Cricetulus griseus: one gene and its partners. The protein of the gene in region 6 interacts with the protein of the main gene of each other region in a pairwise test. Links are inferred from orthologs where the notes say so. Each region holds a gene or a part of one and is shown on either strand. Other genes may lie near its edges.

Region 1 (4,069 bases), about 9.0 Mb from region 6:
ACAGAGTTCCAGGATAACCAGAGCCATTACAGAGAAACCCTGCCTCAAAAATCCAAAAAAGTTAGGTTTTAAGACACAAAAACTCAAAATTAGCCCTTTAAACTCTCTGCTTCATGACCAACCAAGATTAATCCCAGCACTCGAGAGGCAGAGGCAGGTGGATCTTTTTAATTCAAGGCCAGCCTGGTTTACTGAGCTAGTTACAGGCTGACAGCCAGGACTATACACAGAAAACCTGTCTAAAGAAAACAAACAAAAAAATATTAACAGTGGTTTTATTGAGGGGCAAGTGTTTATAACTGATTTATTTAAACATTAAAAATTGATTTAAAATTATTCATAAAATATTTGTGTGTGCGTGCACATGCTAGACTATGAACAAAGGTCAAAGGGTAACATTAGAAAATTGCTTTTCTCCTTCTACCTTGTTGAGGAAGGGTCTCTCGTTTTTTTTACCATGCCGTAATATTACTACAGATTAGGTGGCCCTCAGGTTCCTGTGATTCTGTCTCCCATCTTTCCTCTGCCTCCCATCTTATGGTAGGGATTAGAGCCTTGTGACTCCTTACCTACCTTTTGGGGGCCTGTGGGGTTTTGTTTTTTTTATTGTGGGTTCCAGGATCAAACTCAGGTTATCAGACTTGCATCCTACACTGACATTTGGAGTAATTGTTTCTTATGGAGATCTGATTGTAGGATGTTTAATAAGTACTCCAGAGTCTGTGGTCAACAGATTGACAGTATCACAAGAGTCTCACATCCCCAAATGTCCTATGGAGGGGGAAAAATGCACTCAGTTGAGATCCACTGACATAAAAGTTTATAAATTCCCAAATCCGTGTGTGTGTGTGTGTGTGTGTGTGTGTGTGTGTGAGAGAGAGAGAGAGAGAGAGAGAGAGAGAGAGAGAGAGAGAGAGAGAGAGAGAGAGAGAGAGAGAGAGCTCATGGACATGTCTCATTTACAACATTCCCCAGTCTTGCTTCATATAATATTAACCAACATGAACTTCCAAAAGACCAGGCTAAATGTTCCCAATAAGTCATTTTTTTTTTCTGGATTCCCAGTCTTCGAACAATTTCCTCGATAAAATACCCTACCTCTCCTTCTACTAACTGTCTTATATAAGCTTTTCAACTGTTAGCTCTACAGTACTTACTGAGTTCAGATTATCACTCAGATACCCACTGCACCAACAGAGAAGAGTATCACATATGTTTTTGCTACTAATTTCACACCAAATTAACTTCATATTTGTTACCTGGTACATGTCTTGCATATAGCTGACTAGACTCAGTACTGTGCTGGACAGTGAGGCAATCAAAACCTTGGTAACCGATGAAGGTGGTTTTAAAGGTTTGGGTATAAATAATAGTGAACTGTTGACTACTCATGAAGTGGTTTGCTTTGGGATTGCATTTCTTTTCATGGAGTTATTAAGTACATTCATTTCAAATACAAAATAGTGTACCATAGTTTTAAAAAAAATGTTTCCAGCTGTTCTCCACAATCTCTAAAAAATGAACCTACAAACTTTATGACGTCCATTTATCTTAAAAACAATTTTGGGGAAGGGGCTCGGGCATAAAACTTAAGTGTGGCCAATATGAGCAGATACTGTCACTGGTGTGAAGATTGATTCGTGTGTACACAAATGTATACTCACTTAAGAATCTCCGAAGCTGAAGTAAATAAAAAGACAACACTTTGTATATTAGTAAGAAAGAGGCTGAGGAGGCAAACGATGATAATAACACTACCTATTCCAAAGCACGCTCTTAAAACAACTCAGCACACAGAAAACAAAATAAATATTGCTCATCATAGTTTATTACTGACCAGGTAAAAGCCTCCGTGCATAAACTTCTGACTCGAAGAAGCTGATTTAAAAGAAAGAAGAATAATCTTGAATGATTTTACACAAGTTGCAGGTATTAGAAGGACTCGTGTCTCAGAATGCTTTAAAGCACGAAATTGGTGACAATTACCGAACTAATTCCTCTCCCAATTACTTTTTTCCTCCGTATCTGCAAAGAAACTGATACAGATGTTTTCAAGGCACTTTATAAGCCACCAGAAAACAAATCAACTCTTTGTTATCTCCGTACGTAAACCCAGTTAAGCGCCTGGGTACAATTACAGAGTAACTTTTCAGAAAGCACGAGGAGTTTTAAAAGTTGCAGTCAACAATTCTTACGCAGCTATGTCAAATTTCTGTCCTGAGAAACAAATTCCGATCTGTCTGGGAATCAAAAATTCCTCCGAAAATAAGGAAATGCCTCAGCCGGGCCTAGACGGCTCTCGCGAAAACCTGTCCTCCTCGCACAGCGATCCTCTCACGCGCCCCGTCCTTCCCTGTGGGGTGTAGACGTCGACTCCACCCGAGGACCAAGAAATGACAGCAGGTTTGGTCCACGCCTCTCCCGCCAGGACCCCCGAGGCCTGCAGCTCCCAGCTCCCAGCCGTGGCCCGCCCGGGGGGTCCGCGGGAGACCGGCGGCCCCACCCGTCCGCGCCCCGCCCCGACCCCGCCGCCTTGCCCGGGAAAGGCCGCCGCCGCGGGGCCTGCAGGTGGGCCCGGCCAGCCGCTCGAGAAGCCTGCGCACGAGCGAGCAGCAGCGGAGATCCCAACCCGGTGCGGCCGTCACTTACCGGCGCCTCATGGTAGCGCAGCGCCTCAGCCCAGCCACTGTGCTGACGAACCGCGCCCGGCAGCTCGGAGCGTCCCCGGGATCCCCAGCCGGGCCCCACTCACAGCCATTCAAACACCGCCGCGCGCGGCCCGCCGGGATAGCTAGCCGTGGGCGTCCGCGGGCCCCGCCCAGCGCAAGCTCCGCCCCCTCGGGTGCCTGCGGGAGGGGGGGACAGGGCGCGTGGCCGCGGCGCCCCCTAGTGGCCATAGGGGCTCACGGACGCTTTGCTATGGCGGGGTTAAGAAGGCTACTAGAACAGAGGCACCCAGGAAAGAAAGACCCTGGGGGCTAGGGATACTCTAGTAAGGGACTACACCCGGGCCTCAAGGAGAGATGAACATTTATTCTCATTGAAACGACCAGGATATAGTGGTTAAAAAGCGTAGACTCTGGAACTGTGAGACTTTAAACAAATCACAGGAACTTAGTGTGTGTGCTTTTGATTTCCTCGTCTGTAAAACCAGAATGATAACAATGTATCTGCCTCTTAAGGTTGCTGTGGATAGCAAATGGGTTGATACAAACAAAATTATTCCGAGAGTACCTGGCTCCTGGTAAGCTCTACGTAATTCCTGACTATCTTGTTTTGTTTCCTGTTATGTGCCAAACTTCGAGAATCTCTTTAACAGTTTTTAGAAACTTTATTATTTAAAAAATACCTTGCAACTCCAAGCCTCCAAAACTCACAGACTGCTGCAAGAAACTTAAGACAGGAAATGTGCATATTAAAGGCCCTCTTCTTGGGAAGCAAGTTTAGTTTCATCAGGGCAGGAATGTTTGACTATGAGATTAGGATTGGTTCTGTCCCCGGCACATTTTTAATTACTGAGAACAATTCTCTTGATAAGAGTCTAGTCAGGGTAAGCCACTGGTCAGGGTTAAAAAACCTGAGATAGTAAGATTGTCTTGTACGGTGGTCTTCCCCTGTGCAGAAGTCAGAGTGATAGTCCCGATACATCACACTGAGTGAAGTTATGAAAGGTATATCCTAAATACTGTGGGCATACAGAGCACTAATTGGAGCTAAGGGGCCATTAAGTGATTGTAATGTAATGTATTTTCCTTCTGTAGTAACGGGGCGCTCACTTAACCCCCCAAAATAAGTAATAATAAAAATTTGAAGCAACCATTTATGACAATGGGAAAATATTTTTAGAACACTGTGTGAGCAACGTCTTTGAGACTTTCTCAGATGATGCCAAGCACAAGCAGGCACATGTGTGGCCACACCTGTTAGCTCCCGCTGGCTGAGTGTGTGAAAGGAACTGGGGCAAGACAGAGTATTTGTGAGCATGGCTTCTACTAGGTAGGTGGTGGTGTTTTAAAATAAAAAGTTAACACACATGAAGTCACTTTCTCTCAAGGTATTTCTTCATCAT
Region 2 (4,249 bases), on a different chromosome or scaffold from region 6:
GAATGTCAATAATAAAAAAGCCTTGTCCAATTCCACTGTGTCCAAGTTGTGTGGGGGATAGAGAAAAAGATCAATGATTATTGCTCAGGCCTGGGATGAGGCTGCCATGGTCGGTAGAGTTGATCACAATGGAGCCAGGGGTCAAAGATGCCCAGTGGTGGTGCCTCTGTCAGTGTCCTGAGACTGCTCTGCAGACTGGTTCACTGGTGTTCCAGACAACTGCAGCATTCGGAATGTTTCCAGCCACATCTGTTCTCACACTTTTCCTTTTTTATATGTGTGTGTGTGTGTGTGTGTGTGTGTGTGTGTGTGTGTGTGTGTGTGTGTCTGCATGTGTGTGTCTGTGTAAATGGGTCTGCACATCTGTCTGTGCATGCCTGTGGAAGCCAGAAGAGGGCGCTGAGTCACTCGGAGTTGTGGTAAAGGGTGGTTGTGAGTGTTGGGGATCTGAACTCCACTCCTCATGAGACTGTCTTAACCATTGAGACATCTCCAGTCCACTACTGTCTCAGATTCTAAGCAAATTTAGCGTCCCTGAAATGGCTTCAGTGGTAGACCAGAATCACACACTCTCATGCCCTGATCATAAGGCAGGCCTGGGCTGGCACAGCAGCCATCTCTTGCCTCTTCAGCTGCTCTCCTAGGATGATATAACTGGCCATCCAAGGGCGATGTAGTTCAGTAAGCACAGTGCTTCTCTAGTACACAAAAGACCCCGAGTTGACGCCCAGAACCTCGTAAACTGGGAATAATGGTGTTCTCCCCTAATCCTAGCACTTTGGATGTAGAGTCAAGAGGATCAGGAGTTCAAGGTCATCCTTGATGACAGTGAATTCAAGGTTAACCTAATCTACTGAGAGCCTGTCTTTAATAAGGGAGAGGGAAGTTTGTGGCTAGATTGCTCAATAGGTAAAGGCATTGGTCACCAATTCTGATGACCTCAGTTTGATTTCTGTAACCCCCACACTGAAGAAAAAGAAGTGACTCCTGTCAGTGACCTGTGACCTCCACATATGCTCCATGTCATACCTACCCCTCCCTAAAGTAAATAAATGTAGTTGTTTTTTTAAGGCTGAACAAGAACAAATATGGACCAGACATATGGGACAAGAAGTTCTCTTTTGTAGGGTCTGGAGTTCCACTTCTGAATCCTGAGTCTCCAGGAGGAGGGTCAGGATCAATGCTCAGTATAAAAGGGAGAGACAGAAGTCTGTAGATCCGTCCAGACCATCCTTCCCACCCTGAGCCATGTGTGCTGTCTCTCCCATGTGCTAGTTTCTGTTAGGAAGAAGGTCTCAAGCCAGAACACGGAGAGCAGAGGTTGCAGGAACCTTCCCAGTGACAAGTGAGCCCCACACTGACCCACCACCCACTGAAAGCAGTGACACCCCTGCTGCTCTTCTTGCTCAAGAAAGCCACCAGCTGAGTGAGTCAGGGTCACTCAGTCCGGGACAGCTGTGGCTCGCCTTACATGAGCTAAATTGGGAACTGGAATGTCACACAAATGCCCCTTGTCTCCCTACCCCCACAGTAATATTAACCTCTCTAGCGAGCAAGGGACAAAGAGTACTGCCTGTAGAGTGAGCACGAGGGTGGTTTGGGGGAGCAAGAGAATTTCTCAGGGGGAGCTAAAGGGACAAGTTTGTGGAGACGGCTCTGAACAGGGAGTGCAGACAGAAGCGTCTGGAAATAGCCAGGGTGAGAGGGGCCGTTAGAGGGAGAGAAACAGGAAACATCACCCTTTCAAGAGGGAGCAAGATCAGGGATCCTAAGAATCCACAGACAGCCTAAAGTTTACAAGAAGTGTGCACAGGCAGCGAGAGAAGGCCAGAAACAGGGCCAAGGCAGGCACTAGAGCGCCAAGGGATGAACTTCACCGTGGGTTTCAAGCCGCTGCTAGGGGATGCACACAACATGGACAACCTGGAGAAGCAGCTCATCTGCCCCATCTGCCTGGAGATGTTCTCCAAGCCCGTGGTGATCCTGCCCTGCCAGCACAACCTGTGCCGCAAGTGTGCCAATGACGTCTTCCAGGTGGGCTTGGGGACAGCTGGGTCAGGTCTAGGAAGGGACTGGGTGGCAGGTCCCACAGGCGGGAGATGGTGACGCTGCCCCAACTCAGTGGCAGGAGAGTTGGAGGCTGTGGGATCCCAGAGGAAGCACGAGTCAGCAGTTGCCCAGAGCCTGGCAAGCACAGCCTGTGTGCACAGCGTCAGAAGGAGGACCCCAGGGAGACTGGCAGAAACTGGCAAGGAGGGTGGTCTTGCCTGGACTTTGTGGGAGCCTTACTAGATTTCATTTACTTTGAGGCTTTGTGGTTTTATTTATTTACTTTCTTTACACACCATAGATGAGATCAATGAAATATGAGGTATTAAAAAAATAATAGAGCCAGCAAGACAGTGAAGACACTTGCTACCAAAGCTGACAACCTGAACTTGATCCCCAAAACATAAAATTAAACCCTAGAATTAAAAATTTGTGACAAACCAGTGAGAAAGCCTATGATGCCAGCCGAGCTGTGTATATTTGAGATAGAGCTCCTCTCTCCATGAGGGAGCTGCTTAGACACAGTGGGCCAGGGAAGCAGAAGTTTTCCCCAGTTTCACACCTGTGAGCCCTCCTGACCTGGTGAAGAGGCCCATGGACCAACTGATACTCAGGTGATTTATGGACAGAGAGAAGGCAGAAGCAGAATTGTACTTCCCAGAAATGCCTGTGTAGCTGTGGTCATGAGGCCGGGCATAGCTAAGTTAAGTCACTGATATCATTCTGTCCACACATTTCAAAAATAAAAACAAAAAAGCTGGGCATGGTGATGCATGGCTGCAATCCCAGCCCTTGGGAGGTGGCAGCCGGAGAATGAGTTTAAGGCCAGCTTGGGCTATGTGAGACCCTGTCTAACCAACTAAATAAATGCATACATCATAATTCTTTATAAATTCATAGGCTTGCTTTCCTACCCTGTATCATTCATAGAGGTTCCAGTAGGCTGTAAACTAGATCAGAGGTCAGGGAGAGCGAAGGGACAGGACTCACGTGTACAGACATGAGACCTTGCAGATGAAGTAAAAACTGCAAGATCCGGGTGGCTTGGTGCAAATCTGTGACAGAAGCATCAGGAATAAGATTCCAGCCAGGAGCCAGGCTGTGTGACACATGCCTGTGGTTGAAACACCTAAGAGGACCACCACAACTAGAGACTAGCCTGTTATACATAACTCCCACAAACTAGAGGCTAGCCTGGTGTATGTAACCACCACAAACTAGAGACTAGTCTGGTCTATGTAACCCCCACAAACTAGTGGCTAGCCTGGTCTACATAACCACCACAAATAGAAGGTAGCTTGGTCTATGTAACCACCACAAACTAGAGGCTAGCCTGGTCTATGGAACAATTATACCAGTATATCCACTGGCTATGTATAGTAAGACCAAGTCTCAAAAATTAAATAAAAAAGTGGTAGGGCTGGAGAGATGGCTCAGTGGTTAAGAACTCTTGTTGCTCTCCCAAACAACTCAGTTTCCGTTCCCAGCATCCACATGATAGCTTACAACTGTCTAACTCCAGTTCCAGGGGACCTGATGCTCCCTTCTGAACCCTCCCCTCATGGGCATTATGCATGCAGGCAAAATACATACACATAAAATAAATCTCAAAAAGATTATTCCTGCTTTTCACAGACTATGAGGGAATGAGTTGAGCAGACATTTTCACACCTTTTTCCCTCCTCTCTTTGGTGCTATGGTTAATCCAGGGCATTGTGTGTGTTAAACATGCATTCTACCATTGCTCTACACCACAAGCCCCAACACAAGCTATTTTTTTAAAGATTTATTATGTATACACACACCAGAAGAGGGAACCAGATTTCATTATAGATGGCTGTGAGCCACCATGTGGTTGCTGGGAATTGAACTCAGGACCTCTGGAAGAGCAGCCAGTACTCCTAACCTCTGAGCCATCTCTCCAGCCCCAGCACAAGCTATTTTTAAAAAAATATTTCTTATTAGTGTGTGTGTGTATGTGTGTGTGTGTGTGCGCACAGAAGCCAGAAAAGGGTGTCAGATCCCCTGGAGCTGGAGCTGCAGTGTTTGTGATGTGGCAGCTGGGAACCAAACTCTGATGCTCTGAAAGAGCAGCATGTGTTCCAAATGGCCAGGCTGTCTCTCCAGTCTTGACACAAGTGGGTCTTAACTTCACTGAGAACATAGCCTTTTAGGTTCCTTGGCATAGCAGGCTTTCTTG
Region 3 (3,350 bases), on a different chromosome or scaffold from region 6:
CCCGGCCTGCAGCAGTCCCAGGTGGGCTTCCCATCTGTAAGCAGCGCACCGGGATGATCATGGCGGTATCTCTGCTCGAAGGAGGCAGACCCTGCCTCTCTGAAGCCCCAAAAGGGGCTTCCATCCTCTACCTTAAATGGGTCACATACACACCTGGAACCATGCCCAAAGGGAGTGACTACTGTTCATAGGCAAGATGCTGCTATAATTAGCCTCTGGACCTAGAGACCTCAGGCAGGGGAGAGGCAGGTGGAGTAACCAAGGCAGGGAGTTGATACCCAGGCTCTGGTGGGATGGGACACAATTGCTTCCCTGACCCCATCCACCTCTTAGTCCACACCTAGTTGTCCAAGCATGGCAGGCTGTGCGGAGAGACCTGCCCAGGTGTCCAGTGGAACATGGCAGGTGGTGTGGTGAGGCCTGCCCAGGTGTCCAGGCATGGCAGGCAGTGTGGTGGAGTCTGGGCAGTGAGGTAGCTTGGTGCCTTGGAAACAGACGGGGAAAACGATAAAGATAACACTTTATTTCATTAGGCTGAGACTGCAGTCTCAGGCCACAGCCTGGCCACCAAAGTGGCCTCAAGCAACCAGCATATGGGACTGGAGGCTGGTGTGGGGCCACCTTGGGACAGTGCAGGGAGGGGCTCTAAAACAGGAGGAAGAGGAGAGGCCCAGTGTTTGGGACAAGAGAGGAGAGTAGTAGACTGTGATCTGGCTTGGTCGTCCCTAGCAGCTGCTCCTGCTAGCTAGGGACTAGAGACGGAGAGACAGAGTGGCTGCTTGAGCAGAGGCTCTGGCTAGTGTTTGTGGCACGATGCAGCTATAGGTGGCAAAGGGGTCTGGGGACAATGTGGGGTATAGGCTAGGCAGAGGTCCAGTGGCTGTAGAGTGAGGATGCCTGCGGGCAGATGGAGGCTAGATGGAGGTCTGGCGGCTGAACAGCTCGATGGTGAGGGCGCTGAGGAAGGCAGGAATGCTATCTTGCTGCAGCAAGTGCAGCTCAATGAGCTCAGGCACTGAACGGGAGAACTCCGTCTCCAACAGCTGCATCTTGGAGCCTGAGGGTCCTGTGGCCTGCAGGAGGAGAAAAGAGAGGGGCATCAGTGCTGATTGTTGGGCAGGTGTCTGCCCTTTGTCCTCACATGCTCCCAGTGGAGGGGGTGAGGGCCCAGGAAGGCTGTACTCCTGCCATCGCAAGAGCAGCCTGGGCTAGACGGGCACTGGCCTGCTTCTGCCCGATGCCCATTGAGGCAAAGCACGAGGTCATCCGCAGAGGGAGCTGAGATTCACAGCAGGCAGGCAGTCTTGCCTCAATAGGATTTGGATTCTTGGGGGCTTCAATTCCAGTCACCAGCTCTTCAGCTGTCACATGCTTGACTTGGGGAGGCAGAGTAAGCCCCAAGCATCTTCCAGACTGTGAAGCCAGGATGCTGGGTATTGGCTGATGGAGGTTTGGTCCTGGAAGGGTAGACTCTGGAGCCCAGACTGGTTCTTTCCCTGTTTTCTTATGTCACTTATAACTGAAGGGAGGGCATAGTGACTCTGTGATGGCTGTGATGGGGAGGTGGGAGTGGAGCTTGCAGGTAGGCTCAGAGCTGCAATGGTACACAGCTTGGCCTCCCGGGGCATGCCCAGGTTACTTGGCTGTTTGGCCAGGCTGCCCTCTTACCATGTAGGCTAGGCTGGGAGAAGCAGACAGAGGCCCTGAGTGAACCTCCTTGTAATCCTGAATTTCCCTGCTATCACTTATCCTGGGGCCTCCCCTGCCAACTGGCCCAGGAATGCTGCAGTGGCCAAAGATGTAGAAGGCCTGCTTGACTAGGGAAGAAAAATTCCTGTTTACAAGGCCAGGCAAGAAGTGGTCACAAACCCACTCTGGATTGCTCCCAAACCTTAGGTCTGATGTAGAACTGGTATCTAGCAAACCTAGAGCCCCTCCTCACTCAGCCACAGAAACAGGACCCGGCTGGGAGGCGGGTATAGGTCAGACTGGATGGTTCTCCAAAGAAGAAGCAGGAGGGTCTGATAAAGTTGGTGGGCTTATGGGGTCATCAGGGCAGATGTCAGTCAGGCCAGAGCCCATTAGGAAAGGTGGATGAGGAGGAGGAGAAATCAGAAGACCTGGGCATCATTGCAGGAAGCTCAGGTATTATGGAAAAGCCTGGCAATTCCTCCGTTATGACCCATTGGTACCCCTCCATTGTGCCCTCAGAACATGTAAATACATGTATCCACAGTAAGATGTACATGGGATGTCCACAGTGATATGATTCATATGTACACACACACACACACACACACACACACACACACACACACACACACACACACACACTCTTTAGCCCTGAAAAGGAACAAGGGGACAAGACATGATGCATGATAGCTCAGGGTCAACTTTGAACATAGTGATGCCATTGACATGAGGCATCCATACAAGACAATATGTAGAGGTAGGAGGCAGATTGGTGTGGACCAGGATGAGAGGGGAAGGGAGTGCCTGCTCCAGTGATAGTGTTTCTCTGTGGATTAGCCTGTGCCAATGAATGCACAATGGATGTGCTAATGAGAACCCAAATGCATGGCCACCGTGAAGCCAAGGCAGGGATGAATTTGTTCTGAAAGGTCCCTTCCTGCCAGTGGCTCTGCAGGTGCCTCTGTTCCTGGGAGCCATACAGATGGTCAGTCTGCTCCCATGGGTCCTGGCAGCCCATGACTACCACTGACTCCCTAGCATGAGCAAGAGAGGACCTGGGGAGCAGCCTGTGCCCCCAACCCCTCCACCTCCATCCCTCGTGGGGCATCAGGGCATGTGAGGTTTTGTCTCAATGACTCCCTGAGCTGTCTTCTGACTTGCTTGTTACCTGGGTTTTCCTCCTGTTTTCTCACGTGGGTCGACCCCCAGCCTGTTCCCTTGGCCCTTATTACATTTGGCCTTGTCATAGTTCAACACAAACCATCTTTAAACAAAAATAAGAGAAACCACTCTGACCTTTTCTCGAGAAAATCCTTTCATTTCTCCCTTCTGCTCTCGACTCGCAATGTTTTTCCCGAAATGTCAGAGGGGCTGACTCTGAGGCGGCTGTTGGGGAAGGAGCAGGCGGAGCTGTGGGGGTAGGAGCAGGGTGCCAGGAGAGCCTCCAGGGTTCTTTCCTGTCCCCCATGGTATGGGTCTCCTCAGCAGGAGATGTCATGCCTCTTCTGCACCCCCCCCCAGGTGTAGGGGTGTGTGTGTGTGTGTGTGTGTGTGTGTGTGTGTGTGTGTGTGTTTAAGTGTGGTATTAGGGGTGGAACCTAGGGCCTCATACGAGTTAGAGGCAAGTACCCTACCACCAAGCCACACTCCCCAGCCCT
Region 4 (3,500 bases), on a different chromosome or scaffold from region 6:
ATTTTTTTAATTTATCCACCGCCCCCACCCCGTGTACACATGCCGCTGTGTCTGTCTGTCTGTGTGTGTTTATAGAAGTTAGAGGACAACTCTGTAGAACTGACTCTCCTTCCACCTTTATTTACCTGGGTCTGGGGATTGAACTTAGGTTAGTAGACTTGAATGGCAAATGCTTTTACCTGCAGAGCCTCTCTCAGCCCTTGTACTTTAAAATAATGAAAAGCTAGGATTACAGATGCACACACTACCACATCTTGTCTTTATGTAGCTTTGGGCAGTTCATACTCAGGTCCTTATTACATGGCCAGCATTGTACCTACCCACTTAGCCAAGGTCTCCCCAACCCACTTGTGGTGGTTCTTTCTCCCAAGATGGGCCCATCTCTATTGCCCAGGCTGTTCTACCTTCCTGCCTCAGCCACCTGAGTAGCTGGGATTACATGCATTCACTGTTGACTATCATGCTCAGATCTGAGGTTCTCTCTCTCTCTCTCTCTCTCTCTCTCTCTCTCTCTCTCTCTCTCTCTCTCTCTTTCTCTCGTCAGTTTTCTACTGCAAGCTGCTGGGCCTTCGACTGGCATTGTGAGGAATTGATAGACAGGCTCCTTGTAATTGACGCGCACCTCACTGTTGCTCTCATGGATTTGTTAGGCCCTGCTTTGATTGTTTTTGTTCCATTTGGGCATTCACTTTGGCTGTCTTCCAGAGTTGGTTTATCCCTCAGATGCATGGTGTGTCTGTTGTTGTCCCTGCCTTTCCTCTTCACAAGTTCTTTCTACTGGCATCCTTTATGTCTTGTGTTTGTTCTTTGCTTCTGAGTTGAGAATTTGGTTCTGGTACCTGGCCCTCAGCCTGCCTGCCCTTCTGGGCCGCTCAGAGCTGTGTGCTGTCTGCTAATCCTTTCTTCCTCAAGTCTTCACCGTAGAGCTCACCTGTTGGCAGCTGGATGTGTTTGTTTTCCTGAATGTGTTCTGAGCTTTGTTCTAGGATGTAGTGGCTTGGAAATGGATTAATCCTTTCATGGTCTGTCTTTACACTTGGCTCTGCTGTGCTAGAGCAGCGTGTAATCCAGGCTGATTCTGCCAGGCCCCAGACATGCTCTCCCCAAGCCTGTGAGTCTGGCTAGCGGGAACAGGCTTGTTTTCAGACTGTGGCAGGGATATTGTTCCTGCTCTGCCATATGGTCCTTTCCCCTGGCTTCCCCAGCCCTACACTGACCATCCTCAGTAAAGATTCACTCTGGGCCTGAGCTCTGGCTGCCCTTACGTCCCTGTCAATAGACACCTTCTTCCACAGGTCCTGCCATCAAGCTCCATCTGAAGGGGTGAAGGATGTTGCAGGATTCTCCTCATCCTGTCATTTTACTTGGCATTACAGACTTGAAAACTGATGCTTATTATTTTATCATATTTAACATTGTTTGTGTGTATGTGTGTGGACACATACCACATTCATGCCCTGCACATACCATAATACACATATGGAAGTCATAGGACAACTTGGGGAGTCAGTTCTCTCCTGCCACGTGAGTCTTGAGTTTTAGTACAAAGGTTGTCAGGCTTGACGTCACACGCTTTTACCTGCGGAGCCATCTCACCAGCCATGTTGCATCAGACTATTCCTGTGCTTTCCAGTTCTTTTCCTACACAGGAAGTGGAACCTGTCCTTGTGACTGTGTGTCTTCTCAGTTGGAGGTAGATGTCTCCATCAGTGTGTTTGAAAAGCTGTCCAGGGCTGCTCCTGTGCCCTAGGCTGGTAGCTTGGGTGGAGGAAGAGAGTTGGGGCCCAGGTTGGCAGGCCTGGGCTTGAAGATTGTATCACGCTGCTTAGCCATCACACTTTGGGGAAAAGTTCTGAGAAGTCCTTGCCCCAACTCCCAAGTTTATGGGTGTGTCCTAAGCAGCCACAGGTGCTGGACTCTTCAGTACAGTCCCAGAGCCCTGAGTTGGGGGCCAGTTTGGTGTCTGGTTCCCTTTGTGTGTCTTATGGTGGACAGGTAGCATGGGTCAAGTTCTGTGCAGGTAGCAATGTGTTACTTGATCCTTCCCTAGGATCAGGGTGAAAGCAAACAGACAGAAATCACAAATCTGAGCTGCTTTGATTTGTGTAGAATGGATGCTCTGTTAGAGGACTGAGAGCACATGGGCAAGGCCTGGCTACCTTGTGAGGGAATCCAGTCCCCTGCAGGAGTGTTACACTGTGATCCCCAAGTTGCCCTCTGATACATTCCCTGGGTCTACTGGGCTGTGCATCCTCTGGCCCCTTGGGAGGCCTTCTCACAGTGTCTGGGACACGGCCTATGCCTCAGTCTAGACCCTGCTCCATTCTGCCAGTTCCCTATCAGGATGAAAATTGCTTTCTGCATTTTCATGTGTTAGTGTTAGAAACTGCTTCAGCTCAGTAGCATCCCTGTACAATGTAGCTTTGTATGTTTTGCTTATTGTTTTCTTGGACTGAGTTCCCAGACCTATGAAGTCATAAATGAAAGAAAATAGTCCTGTTCTCTTTTAAATCTAGTGAAAACCATCATATTCTTGTTCTTTAGTAACTCTTCTCTTACTATTGTTTCTTACCATGAGCTATGACTCCTATAAAGAGTCAGGCAAGGAAGGCCAAGGAGATAGCTCAGCCTCTCAGTGGGGTATGTAATGGAGGCCAGGCTGGCCAGGGCCCAGTGTGTGACTGGCACGGTGTTGTGGGTGAGGCCAGTACTTGTTGCTCTCACTTTGTAGGTTTTCTTCCTGAGTCCTAGAGTCCCACACCTTGCTCCTCACCCCAGTGTCTGAAGCATGCAGATACATGCATCTCTGTGCCTATGTACCCTGAGATGGCTACTCTAGCTAGTTGTTACTGTGCCCTGTCCTTAGGGCTGGGGGCCCAGCCCTGGTTTGTCCCAGACCAAATGAAGGATGATTTGACATCAGGTAGCAGGATGGAGTGGCTCCTCACCCCTTGCATGTAATGGCTAGCACAATTTTGTAAGCCTGGAATGTATGTTGGGTGTGCTGCTCTAGGGTTGTTTCCCATTAGCTTGGCCAAGCTCACAGTATAGACCATTTGCTTCCTGGTCCTGGGAACTTTCCAACTGGCACACATCATCAGGCCTCAAACTTTGTCCCTTACAAAGGAAATTCCACCTATGTCTGTGACCCTATACTCTTAGTGTTCCTTCCTGTCACTCCACATGATGCTCCTAAGACTAGTTTGGTTTCACTCAATGTAATGAAACGTGAAGCGTGCCTGCTACACACATCTCAATGTGTGTTTTAACATGTGCACAGCATGGAACTGCTTCACAGGTCTATGTTCCTGTGGTCTTAGGCCTCCATTGCTTTGTGGCCCAGGGACACCCATCTCATGAAGGTCTTTTCTGTGCACACAGGCATTTGGACAAGCACACACAAACCACAAAAAGGTGGCTGCTGATGGTGAGAGCCGGGAGGAGAGCCTGATCCAGGAGTCAGCCTCCAAAGAGCAGTACTATGTGAGGAAGGTGCTGGA
Region 5 (4,131 bases), on a different chromosome or scaffold from region 6:
GGAACTCAGGCCCGGGCTCAGAGAAGGCATCCCTGAGGAGGGCGGGGCCACGGACCCGAGTGGGAGACCATGGGGGGGGGCACACCTGTGCCCTCTCTAAAATGACAAATGCTGGGGCTGTGGCCTGGTAGGTAGCTTCCACTGACCTAGCACATGAAGCTCCACTGGGCCCCTTCTTGACTGTCATCTACTGTTAGCAGCTCAAGGTCATCCTTGGCTACAAAGGGAGCTGGAGGAAGCCTGGACTACATGAGACCCTGTCTCAAAATAAATACCAAAAAGTAAAAATAATAAATTAAAAAAAAATCACAAACCCAAGATTTCCTTTTTCTTGGAGAACTCTGAGTATCTTTCAAAGACTATTACTATTATTACTATTTGTTTTCTGAGACATAGGTTTGCTCTGTACCTCAGGCTAGCCCAAAACGCCTCCATCCTCCTCCTGTGTGTCTGAGAACTGAGTGTTGGGCCGCACCCCCATGCTCACTCACTGTTGGGAGTACAGGGTCAAATGGGGACCCCAGGCCACGCTTTCCCCAGTCCCCTACTTCAGGCTGCTTCTGTGCTGTGCAGCCCTCGGAAATGGCTGAGCTCTCTGGGCTTCAGAGTGATTAGTTTCACACATGAGAAACAGGAAAACAGTTTGTGGGAGCCCGTCAGTTGGATGGTCTGTGGGACACCAGCAAGCTCCCCCACTCCATAAGTGGACAGAAAGAGAAGGAGGGGCTGTGTGGACCTTGGCTGATTAATAACCCTCTCTGGACACCCACTGCAGCCTGTGTTAAAATGAGAGCATCACGCTCTCTGGGGACCCGGCTTCTGAAGCAACACACACTGTGTGCCTCGGTTTCCCCCTCCACACTACGGGGCTGCTGGTTTGGTTTTGGACTCAGGGTGGTATGTATCCCAGGCTGGCCTCTAACTTGCTAAGTAGTTGAAGATGACCTTGAACTGCTGACCCTCAAGCCTCCACCCCCTCCCAGCCTTTCTCCAGACCACAGATAACCCCTACATTCTGGGGGTGCGGCCTTCCTGGCGCGGGCTCACCTGTGGTACTGGGCTTGCAGCAGCTGGAATTCATCTTTGATCCGGTCGCAGGAGTCGGAGGTGGTGAACTTGAGCTGCTGGGGGAGGTGGGAGGAGCCCTGCGGGTGCGGGTGAGGGTGCGGGAGGGTGAGGGCCTGCTTGCCCGCCCACGCCCTACTTCCTGGCTGAGCTCTGCAGGCCCCAGCAGCACTCTCCTAGGAAGCCTGCAGGGGGCTGGGAGGCCCCCAGGCAAGGAGGCGCTTTTACCGTTGGTCATTTTGGGGGGCAGGCACCCCATCCTCCAGCGGCCTCTGAGGGGTCCCCGGGAAGCCCCTCTACGTCAAACAGGACACAGGCCTGCCTTCAAAGCCAGCTTGGAAGATGCACCTAGCTACCACCCCACACTTCCTGGGCGTACCCCCATCACACCTGTTTCCTCAGGGGACTCCCCCCAAAGCTGCCCAGCCCCAGGGGTGCCTCGCGGGGTTCCCCCCAGCCCCAGTGAAAGCCATGGGAGGAAGACAGGCCTGGGGTCAGGGAGGCAGATGGTAAATGTTAGGGTGCAGGGGCGGGCCGAGAGGTGTCCCTGGGGGTGAGGGGATGCACAGGGCTGGCATCTGAGGACACTGGGCCAGGAGTTGGGGTGTAAGGTTTTCGGATCTGGGGAGCACAGTTAGAGTCTGGGGTCAAGGCTGGGAGCAGGGTGGGGGCTGCCGGGCCACCGGGAGCTGGGGTGGGAGGGATGTGCGGGGGGTCGGCGCCTGGAGCTGGGGGAGGGCGGGCGTGGGGGGTCCTCGGGCTCCGGACAGGGGCAGAGGCACAGTGGGCGTTATAAAGGCGCAGGGTCCCCCACACTGCGGTACTGAGGGTGCAGGATGGGGGCTGGGAGGTGGCAGGCCTCTGGGGTGCGAGGCCTGCAGCTGCAGGACACAGGGCCGGGCTGGGGGGTGGCGCTGGGCCCGGATGGTGACGCCAGGCCCGAAAGGGCTCGGGGGAGAGGCAGTGGGTACGGAGCCTATATTCTGGGGTGCGGGGCAGCCGACTTGGGGGCAGGGATGGAAGTGCAGGGCCTTGGACTTGGGGGCAGGCTGGTCTGGGGCCATTAGCGAGCTGGTGCGGAGGGGTGCGGGAGCGCAGAGGTGGCGGTGCAAGGTCTCAGGCTGGAGGACACGTGCGGCCTGGGCTTGGGGTGCTGCAGCCCTGGGCCTGAGCCCCAGGGCTGGGAGACAGGCCGGATGCGGCTGGAGTGGGGTGCGGGGCCCCGGGCTGAGAGACAGGCTGGTCCGGAGTCGGGATGGGCAGGCAGCACGGGGTGGGCTCGAGGCCGGGATCAAAGTTCAGGGGTCCGGGCTGAAGGATGCAGTGCTGGGCCGGTGGGGTGCGCACGGCCTGGGTGGTTGGGTGCAAAGACCCCGGGGACAGCGCCGGTGGGAGCCCCTGGGGCAGGCCCTGGGCGGGGAGACAGGCGGGATCCGAGCTCCGGGGGTTCAGTGAGCAGAGCTGGGGATGTAGGGCGAGCACCGGGGGTGCAGGGCGAGCTCCGGGGTGCAGAGCGCGGGGTCCCCCTTACCGAGTGCCGGCTTTGCGGAAACATCATGTCAGTCGCGGGGGGCGCGGGCTGCGCCCCGGCTCGGGCGGCTCGGGGGGCGCCGGGCGGCCGCGCTTTGTCCCCGATCGGCAGCTCCGGGGCCCCGCGTCCCGCCTCCTGCGCCGCCCGCCGCCCGCCCGCGCCGCCCGCGCTATTGTGTAATGGCGACGCGGTGCCGCCCGGGCTCCCGCTCCACCTGCCGCGCCCGGCACTGCGCAGGCCGGACGCCCCACCCGTGACCTTGGCCCCGCGCGCCCCGCCCCCGCCGCGGCCCCGAGCCCTGGCCCGAAGCCTGCCTCGATCCCCCACTCCACTCTCAGGCCCCAGACCCACAGTCTGAGTGCCCAGACCCCAAGGTGCATTTATGAATCGCCTACGGTGTGCCTCGCCCTCTCTGGAGTGGGGAGGGGAGGCTTGGCACGGCTGGGGGCACGGTGATACCCGTCCCACGGAGGTAGGAAGGGGCCAGGCCTGTCACCACTGACTGAAGTGTACAGGCTGGAGGACCAAGAGTTCCAGGCCAATCTGCGCTACAAAACACCCAATCTCAAAACAGCAACAGAAAGTAAAAGACTTGAGTGATGGTGCAAGGCTTTAATCCCAGTGCAAGGTAGGTTGAGACAGGTGGAAGCCAGCCTGATCTACACAGTGAGTTCCCATACAGCCTGGGCTACATGAGCCTCCGTCTCAAAAATAACAAAAGTTAGAGACCTACTGGAAACAGAGGTGGTGCACACCTTTTAATTCCAGCGCTCCGGAGGCCCAGAGGCAGGCAGATCTCTCTGAGTTTGAGGCTAGCCTGGCCAGGATTGCATGAGCCCTTTCTCAAGAATAATTAAAATAAAAACATAAATATATAAAAGGAAAATAGTTCCCGGGGCTAATTAGTGCCCAACATTTCAGAGCAAGCTGAAGCAGAGGGATTCCTACAATTTCTGGCCAGCCTGAGCTGTATGGCAATTGTCTGTCCCATACTTGAGACAGACCCTGACAAAAGTCGACTGTTATGCACAGGTGACCCACAAAGATCAGAGAGCAGAGGTGCCGGGGCGTTGATGGCACACGCCTTTAATTCCAGCACTCGGGAGGCAGAGGCAGGCAGATCTCTGTGAGTTCGAGGCCAGCCTGCACCCCAGAGCGAGTGCCAGGATAGGCTGCAAAGCTACACAGAGAAACCCTGTCTCGGAAAACCGAGAGAGAGAGAGAGAGAGAGAGAGAGAGAGAGAGAGAGAGAGAGAGAGAGCAGAAACAATAGGCCCAATAGGCCTGGTCCACTAGGATGCCCAGCCCCAGTGAGGAGCTAAGGGGGGGGGGTATGCAGTTGAGGGGAAGAGGGAGCATGGAGACTCTCTGGCCCATAGGACAAGGACAAAGCCCCTGGGACAGAACTCACACACTGGACCCCAGGAGGCAAGGCCGCTGCTCATGGCAGGGCTTCTGGTAACAGTCCCACTGGTGAGTTTGACACTATCTTATTTAATGAAAATAGGGTCACATGTAACCCAGGCTGGCCTGGA
Region 6 (4,239 bases):
CCTACATGACAAACAATTTTACATACTGAGACCCCCTGCCTGTCTCCCCAAATTGAAACACTATGAACTGGGAAAGTTCAGGATAGCTTGCCTGCTCTGATGTCTAACTGGGAGTTTTTCCAACATGAGTTTACATAACATAACTTGTCTTTTTTTTTTTTTTTTTGAGACAGGGTTTCTCTGTGTAGCTTTGGAACCTGTCCTGGAACCCACTCTGTACACCAGGCTGGCCTTGAACTCAAAAAGATCCACTTGCTTCTGCCTCCCGGGTGCATGGGATTAAAGGTGAGCCATTACTGCCAGGCCCTACTTGGCATTTTTACTTACTAGTCTTTAGAACAAGTACAAGAGCACGGTGTGGTGGCTCACACCTGTACTGTCAGTGCTGAGAGGACTGAGACAGGAGGATCATTGCCAAGTTTCAGGTCATTCGGGGCTACAATACCACAAGAAACAACTATATGTCCAGGTGGTGGCACACCTTTAATTCCAGCATTTGGGAGGCAGAAGCAGGCAAATCTCTTGAGTTTGATGCCAGCCTGGTCTACATAGTTAGTTCTAGGATGGTCAGGAATATATAGGAAAAACCCTGTTTTGAAAACAAACAAACAAAAAAACCCAACCCCCACAACCAAAAAACCAAAACAAAAACCCAAACCCTATATGAATAAAATCAGTTTTTCAAATATTTACTATAAAAATATTTTTATAGTGAAAAGACTCCCTGCAACAGACCAATCAATGCTGTTTTCTCTTTATCAGCTAATTAGAGTCATTAGGCCTATGGAGGTATTTTCTTTTCCCCCAAGACAGGGTTTCTCTGTGGCTTTGGATGCTGTCCTGGTACTAGCTCTTGTAGACCAGACTGGTTTCAAACTCAGAGACCCACCTGCCTCTGCCTCCCGAGTGCTGGGACCAAAGGTGTGCACCACCATCGACTAGTGGAGATGTTTTCTGAAGCTGCTACTCCTTGGCTATATAACTTTGGTCATGCCACTTCCCTAACCCTCTGCTGCCTTAGTTCCCCACCTGTGATATAGGTATAGTAGTACCAATTTTGTAAGATGTTCTACAGATTGTAAGAATTAGCAAATGTAACTTATTTGGGATAGTATATATATGGCACACAGTAAGCACAAATATTATCAACTATCATCTCCATGACAGGTCTCAGTTCAGACAAATGTAACTCTTGTCATACCTCTCTTCCACATCTTCACTAATGCGATTCTGTAAACGCCGAAGTCGGGGGTCACTGGATGAATCTTCCTCCTGTTCCTCAGGCTCTGCTTCTTGTTCCTTAGCTTTCTTAATGAATTGAAATTCTTCATCCTCTTCATCTGAGGACTCCATAGGGGCATAATCTGGCCTTTTCCCAGATACATAACGTTTTACTTTCACTTTTTCCATTGAAATCTCACCTGGACAAGAAAGATAATTTGTTTCAGTAACCTCTTTCCTAATTCCCTGCAATTCTTGGCCTTTGCAGATAGAACCCTAAGTTCTTGATGGAGCAGAGTCTAGAGAGGATATGGCAGTTATTATCCAAGTACATATTCATCTATCAGTGGGTTCCTATAAAGACTATGGCATGGGAAGGCATTTTATAAATACCAAAACTAAGACATCAAGAGGTACCTCGGGGACAACAAAGTAGAAGACTGTGAACAATGAAACTGCAGACCCTCTCTCCCTGCCCCCCACCTACAAATTGAGGCTTTGTCATCTCAACCCTTAGTGGTGATTTGAATGAGAACATGACCCATGATCAAATGTTTGAACACTTGGTTCCCAGCTCCTCTCTCTGAGATGCTATGATAGCCTTTATAACATAATTTAATATTCTAATTTTATCAATTTTTCTAACCCTTATGCTGAACCAGATGTTCTCTAAAACACAAACAAGTTGGAGCTGAAGAGATGGCTCAGCAGCTAAGAGTACCTGCTGCTCATGCAGAGGACTGGATTCATATTCCAGCACCTACACGGCGCAGTCTGTAACAGTCTGATACTCCAGTTCCAGAGGATCTCATACTCTCTTCTGGCCTCTCTGGGTACTGAACCCACATGGTGGCTGGCATACACACACAAAAGCAGAACATCCATACACATGTAATAAGAATACAGAGAAACCTTGTCTCGACCCCCCCCCCCAAAAAAAAAGTGGAAATCCTTATAACCACCTGGGAAAAATCAAAGATAGCTTGGATATAACATACACACAAAGATCTCCAGCTCACTTATATTTTTACTTTTGTTACTGTTTCGGTTGTGAGTCTAGCCTTTAACGGCTGAGCCATCTCTGTGGCTCTATTTTTTATTATTTTTAACGATGCTGTGTGTGGATACGTGCAGGTACCAGCAGAGGCCAGAGGTTTTGGGGTTACAAGTGGTTGTTGAGTCGCCTGATGTGGGTGCTGGAAACTGAACTCGGGTCCTCTGGGAAAGCAGTACGTGCCCTTAACCGCCGAGCCACCACCTCTCCAGCCTCCTTTACTTTTTACTTTGAGAGGTGATCTCAGCAGGTCGATCAGATAGAGAGACGCAAGTGTATTCCGCATCCCTCAATCTCTAGGGTACATGACAGGGTGCGGATTCAGGTGGGACGGAGTCGGTGGGGCTGAAACGGCCAATCTAAGGCAGGTTTGAGGGATACTGAATCAGTAAGAGGTAAGATCAGACAGGAGGAGGGAGGGGAGGGGAGGGGAGGGGAGGCAGTACCTTTCTCATTGCGAACTGGGACGGCCCCAGCCGTAGACTGAATGGGCGGCTGCTTCATGAGTGCGCTTGGGACCGACATGGTGACGGCCGCGGTGGAGACTCCCAAAATTTGATTAAATCCCAACAACGAAGTCCAAGGAACACAACACCTCCTCCCACCTAGCGCCGCCGCCAGACGCTGCTGCGCGACTGACAGAAACGACTTCCGGCAGAGCTAGAGGAACCGGAAATATGCCGGCAGAGGATTGTGGGATTGCGGAGGGACGCTGAGCGCGGGCTGCTTAAAGGGCCAGGCTGAAATTTTACGCGTCTTCGTAGGTAAGTTTCCCGCCTTTAATCTCTGAAGATTTGGAAGCTCCTTTTGGCGGGCAGTTGCTTCTTTGAGGTTTTGGTGAGGTTCAGGAGGGTTCGCCTCGCCCTTAAAGGTTTCCTTTGTTATGTTTTGGAGAAACGGAGCAGATAGTGAGGGGCTGCTTGTGCATCTTGTTGAAACCCCAGAAGTGTGGAGTCTGAGCCGGATATGCGGGTCACGTTTGTAATCCTAGCATCTGGTAGGCTGAAACAGGATAGCGGCGTTTGGAGGCCAGTCTGGGCATCAGAATGAGACCCTGCTTTTAAAAAAAAAAAAAATCCCTAAGGGCCATCTGTTGGTTGGAGCACACTCCGGAGGCTGAAGCAGGCGGATCTCCGAGAGATTGAAGCTAGTCTGGTCTACAAAGACAACATTCTGGGAGTTCAATATTATAGATGATCTTGAAGGTGCTGTTAATATAATTGTCAAATTATTTCACTTGTTTTCTGCAATTGGGCTCTTGCTGGTTGAAGACTGAAAACTGGCAAACTTTAAATTAGTGAGTGCTTACAATCAACGAAACAAGGACGAAGCCTAAGCACTAGAAAAGCCTTAAAAAAGGCAAATGTAGATGGAAATCTTTATTCTTCTTTATTTAATCTTGAGACTGTGTTTTGCTGTGTTGCCCAGGCAGGTGTTTTGTTTTTTTGTATGTTTTTTCACCCTCGATTTCTGAGTTGCTAGGATTAAACACACAGGTGTGTCACTTACAGAAATTTTATATTATGAAACCGGGTGGTGGTGGCTCACGCGTTTTTGTTTTTTTTTTGTTTTTGGTCACCCCTGGCCATCTATAGGTTTTCTTTAGTTCAAAACAGGTGCATTTTTAAAAAATTTTATTTATTTATTATGTATACAACATTCTGCTTCCATGTGTATCTGCACACCAGAAGAGGGCACCAGATCTCATAAAGGATGGTTGTGAGCCACCATGTGGTTGTTGGGAATTGAACTCAGGACCTCTGGAAGAGCAGTCAGTGCTTTTAACCTCTGAGCCATCCATCTCTCCAGCCCCGCCAAGTGCAATTTAAACCAGCATTATCAGTTATTAGAAACAAGCAACACATAATGCATCTTTTTTTTTTCTTTATTCTCCTTATTTTGAGACAGGGGTTCACGTAGCTCCGGCCTCCCTTGAACTGCCTGTATAGCTGATGACAACTTTG
Region 7 (2,142 bases), on a different chromosome or scaffold from region 6:
CAGGAGGTCATGTAAAAAGGGCATGCAGAAGGAGGTCCTTGTATGTTACGACCAAGGGTTTGCTTTTTATTCAGAGCAGCAGAGAGGGAAAAACTGCTGGAGAACGTCGAAATGGGGAGTGAAAGGCTCTAACTCACATTCTAAAAGTGTTCTGAGGCTATTCTAGAGAATATGCAGAAAAGGGGAAGAATGACAGCTAAGGGATTAGATGTAGCAGACCAGACCGTGAAAGAAGGCTGGGATCGAGGTAGCAGAGATGCCCGGAAGTGACTGAATGTGGAGATGTATTTTAAAAAGCAGACCCAATAGCTATCAGCTCAAGGATCCTGGACCAAACTTAGTTATCGACAACTAATGACGTTTAAAATAGGCAGACAAAGTTATTTTACAGAGCTCATCACAGTTTATAACTTAGGAACAAAGGCACTGATAACAGGAATATGGAAAGAATCAAAGATAGAATGTTGGCAAATGGATACTCTGTGCAGATTTGGAGATCTTTTGGTGAAATTGTCTCAACTGAAGAGAAGCCCCTGTTGACAATTACTTATGTATTTAATGAAAGCACCCCTTGCAAGTCTTGAAGTCTCTAAACTCAAATGATCTCCCGCAGTATGACCCTCAGTGTCAGTGTTATTTCTCTGGGTGAAATTTAAACAAGCAAGGAAATGTGTTAAGAAAGCATTACTCTAAAAAAATGTTGATGGCTGCAGGCCCACCGAGGAACACTGTATTGGATGAACAGGTCGGCTGCAGAGAAGTTTAAGCTGAAGCAGGCCAGCCCTGAGTGCTGAGCTTCTATGCTCGCACAGCCCTCCACTGTGGCAGGCTTGGCTCCCCCAGCGTTTCTTCATCAGGCTGGGGGAATTGACAGAGGCCCGGGGCGATGCTCCCTTGGTCACGCCTTCCTCCTCCTGGGCCACGTCCACTCGGTCCGTCAGTCCCACCCTGGCCACACCCCCACGCCACCAGCACTCCCCTCCGCCACGCCTTTCTCACCGCAGTGCGCTGGCGCATTGGCTGCCAGAGTGACCTTGTGGGTGGAGCTTCCGCCACCAGCTAGACCCCCTCTGCGCAGTGCCCAGGGTCAGCACTCCTCTGAGGACACGCACTTCCTCTACGGCCTCCTTGAGCAGCTCCGCGGAGCCGATCCGAGCCCGAGAGCCCGAGACCTGCCAAGCGAGTCACCATGGTGGACGAGCTGGTGTTGCTTCTGCACGCGCTGCTGGTGCGACACCGCGACCTGTGCATCGAGAACAACCGGCTCATGAAACAGCTGCGGCTGCTGGTGTGTGAGCGGGCCATTCTGCTGCGCCAGGTACGTCCGCCCAGCTGTCCGGTGCCCTTCCCCTCACCGTTTAATGGCGAGAACGCCCGGCTCCCCGAGTTTATTGTGCAGACGATGTCCTACATGCTTGTGAATGAGGACCGCTTCTGCAACGACGCCATGAAAGTGGCATTCCTGATCAGCCTCCTCTCCGGGAAAGCCGAGGATTGGGTGGTGCCGTACATCCAGACAGATAGCGCCATTCTCTGTGATTATCGCGCGTTTGTTGAAGAGATGAAGCAGTGTTTTGGCTGGTATGACGACGAAGATGATGATGATGATGATGACGACGACTGTGAAGCGGTTGATTGCTAGGCCCCGAGCCCCCTTAGGCCTACATGAGGAGGACCCTGCACGCTGCGTCCTCCCTACCCCCACCGCTACTCCTGCTGCCTCCGTGCCCCCCTTTGCATTGCCATTCTCTTCCCTGCCAATCACTTCGCTCCTTCATCCCTTTTAGTGCTTGTCTTTGTGCCAATTACCTGCTACGAGTGCTTGAGTTGGGCCTGGGCCTGGCTCTGAGGTTCACAGTGTTCAATTTTAACCAATCCGGGCACCTTTCTAATCTGAACTGTGTTTTGAGCTCCAGCCATTGTCCAGGCCTGTGTTAGAACTCGTCAGACCACCTGCATTCCTGCCGCTGGCTTCTGATGGATCGCCATCTACATCTGCCAGAAGTGGATGCCTGTCACCTCACCCCCCCCCACCACCACCCCCCACTGCATCTCATCTGCAGCCATCCACTTTTCAAGATATGGACCAGGAAGAAGATGATGGAGTTGGCTACATCTATTCAGACTCTCATTTGGACAGTT

Evidence for each region.
Region 1: the proteins of Mfap1 (region 6) and Katnbl1 interact in binary tests that used the Homo sapiens proteins (3 or more experiments, as listed by UniProt). The link is inferred for Cricetulus griseus from reciprocal best matches to the Homo sapiens genes MFAP1 and KATNBL1.
Region 2: the proteins of Mfap1 (region 6) and Trim54 interact in binary tests that used the Homo sapiens proteins (3 or more experiments, as listed by UniProt). The two-hybrid records come from large-scale screens. The link is inferred for Cricetulus griseus from reciprocal best matches to the Homo sapiens genes MFAP1 and TRIM54.
Region 3: the proteins of Mfap1 (region 6) and Mad1l1 interact in binary tests that used the Homo sapiens proteins (3 or more experiments, as listed by UniProt). The two-hybrid records come from large-scale screens. The link is inferred for Cricetulus griseus from reciprocal best matches to the Homo sapiens genes MFAP1 and MAD1L1.
Region 4: the proteins of Mfap1 (region 6) and Bicd2 interact in binary tests that used the Homo sapiens proteins (3 or more experiments, as listed by UniProt). The link is inferred for Cricetulus griseus from reciprocal best matches to the Homo sapiens genes MFAP1 and BICD2.
Region 5: the proteins of Mfap1 (region 6) and Tle5 interact in binary tests that used the Homo sapiens proteins (3 or more experiments, as listed by UniProt). The two-hybrid records come from large-scale screens. The link is inferred for Cricetulus griseus from reciprocal best matches to the Homo sapiens genes MFAP1 and TLE5.
Region 7: the proteins of Mfap1 (region 6) and protein LDOC1-like interact in binary tests that used the Homo sapiens proteins (3 or more experiments, as listed by UniProt). The two-hybrid records come from large-scale screens. The link is inferred for Cricetulus griseus from reciprocal best matches to the Homo sapiens genes MFAP1 and LDOC1.

Annotation. Positions count from the first base shown.
Region 1 is NC_048599.1:65,978,194-65,982,262, forward strand, and holds the start of Katnbl1 (KATNB1-like protein 1), read right to left. Parts: upstream 2,801-4,069; 5' UTR 2,650-2,800; intron 1-2,649.
Region 2 is NC_048600.1:13,268,719-13,272,967, reverse strand, and holds the start of Trim54 (tripartite motif-containing protein 54), read left to right. Parts: upstream 1-1,449; 5' UTR 1,450-1,866; coding exon 1,867-2,034; intron 2,035-4,249. UniProt on the Homo sapiens protein: May bind and stabilize microtubules during myotubes formation.
Region 3 is NC_048597.1:76,648,391-76,651,740, forward strand, and holds the end of Mad1l1 (mitotic spindle assembly checkpoint protein MAD1), read right to left. Parts: intron 1,074-3,350; coding exon 915-1,073; 3' UTR 501-914; downstream 1-500. UniProt on the Homo sapiens protein: Component of the spindle-assembly checkpoint that prevents the onset of anaphase until all chromosomes are properly aligned at the metaphase plate.
Region 4 is NC_048596.1:269,172,759-269,176,258, forward strand, and holds part of Bicd2 (protein bicaudal D homolog 2), read left to right. Parts: intron 1-3,381; coding exon 3,382-3,500. UniProt on the Homo sapiens protein: Acts as an adapter protein linking the dynein motor complex to various cargos and converts dynein from a non-processive to a highly processive motor in the presence of dynactin.
Region 5 is NC_048598.1:102,308,504-102,312,634, reverse strand, and holds the start of Tle5 (TLE family member 5), read right to left. Parts: upstream 2,801-4,131; 5' UTR 2,624-2,800; coding exon 2,597-2,623; intron 1,146-2,596; coding exon 1,048-1,145; intron 1-1,047. UniProt on the Homo sapiens protein: Transcriptional corepressor. Acts as a dominant repressor towards other family members. Inhibits NF-kappa-B-regulated gene expression. May be required for the initiation and maintenance of the differentiated state.
Region 6 is NC_048599.1:56,936,828-56,941,066, reverse strand, and holds the start of Mfap1 (microfibrillar-associated protein 1), read right to left. Parts: upstream 2,801-4,239; coding exon 2,722-2,800; intron 1,422-2,721; coding exon 1,202-1,421; intron 1-1,201. UniProt on the Homo sapiens protein: Involved in pre-mRNA splicing as a component of the spliceosome.
Region 7 is NC_048604.1:11,336,581-11,338,722, reverse strand, and holds protein LDOC1-like, read left to right. Parts: upstream 1-1,189; coding exon 1,190-1,642; downstream 1,643-2,142. UniProt on the Homo sapiens protein: May have an important role in the development and/or progression of some cancers.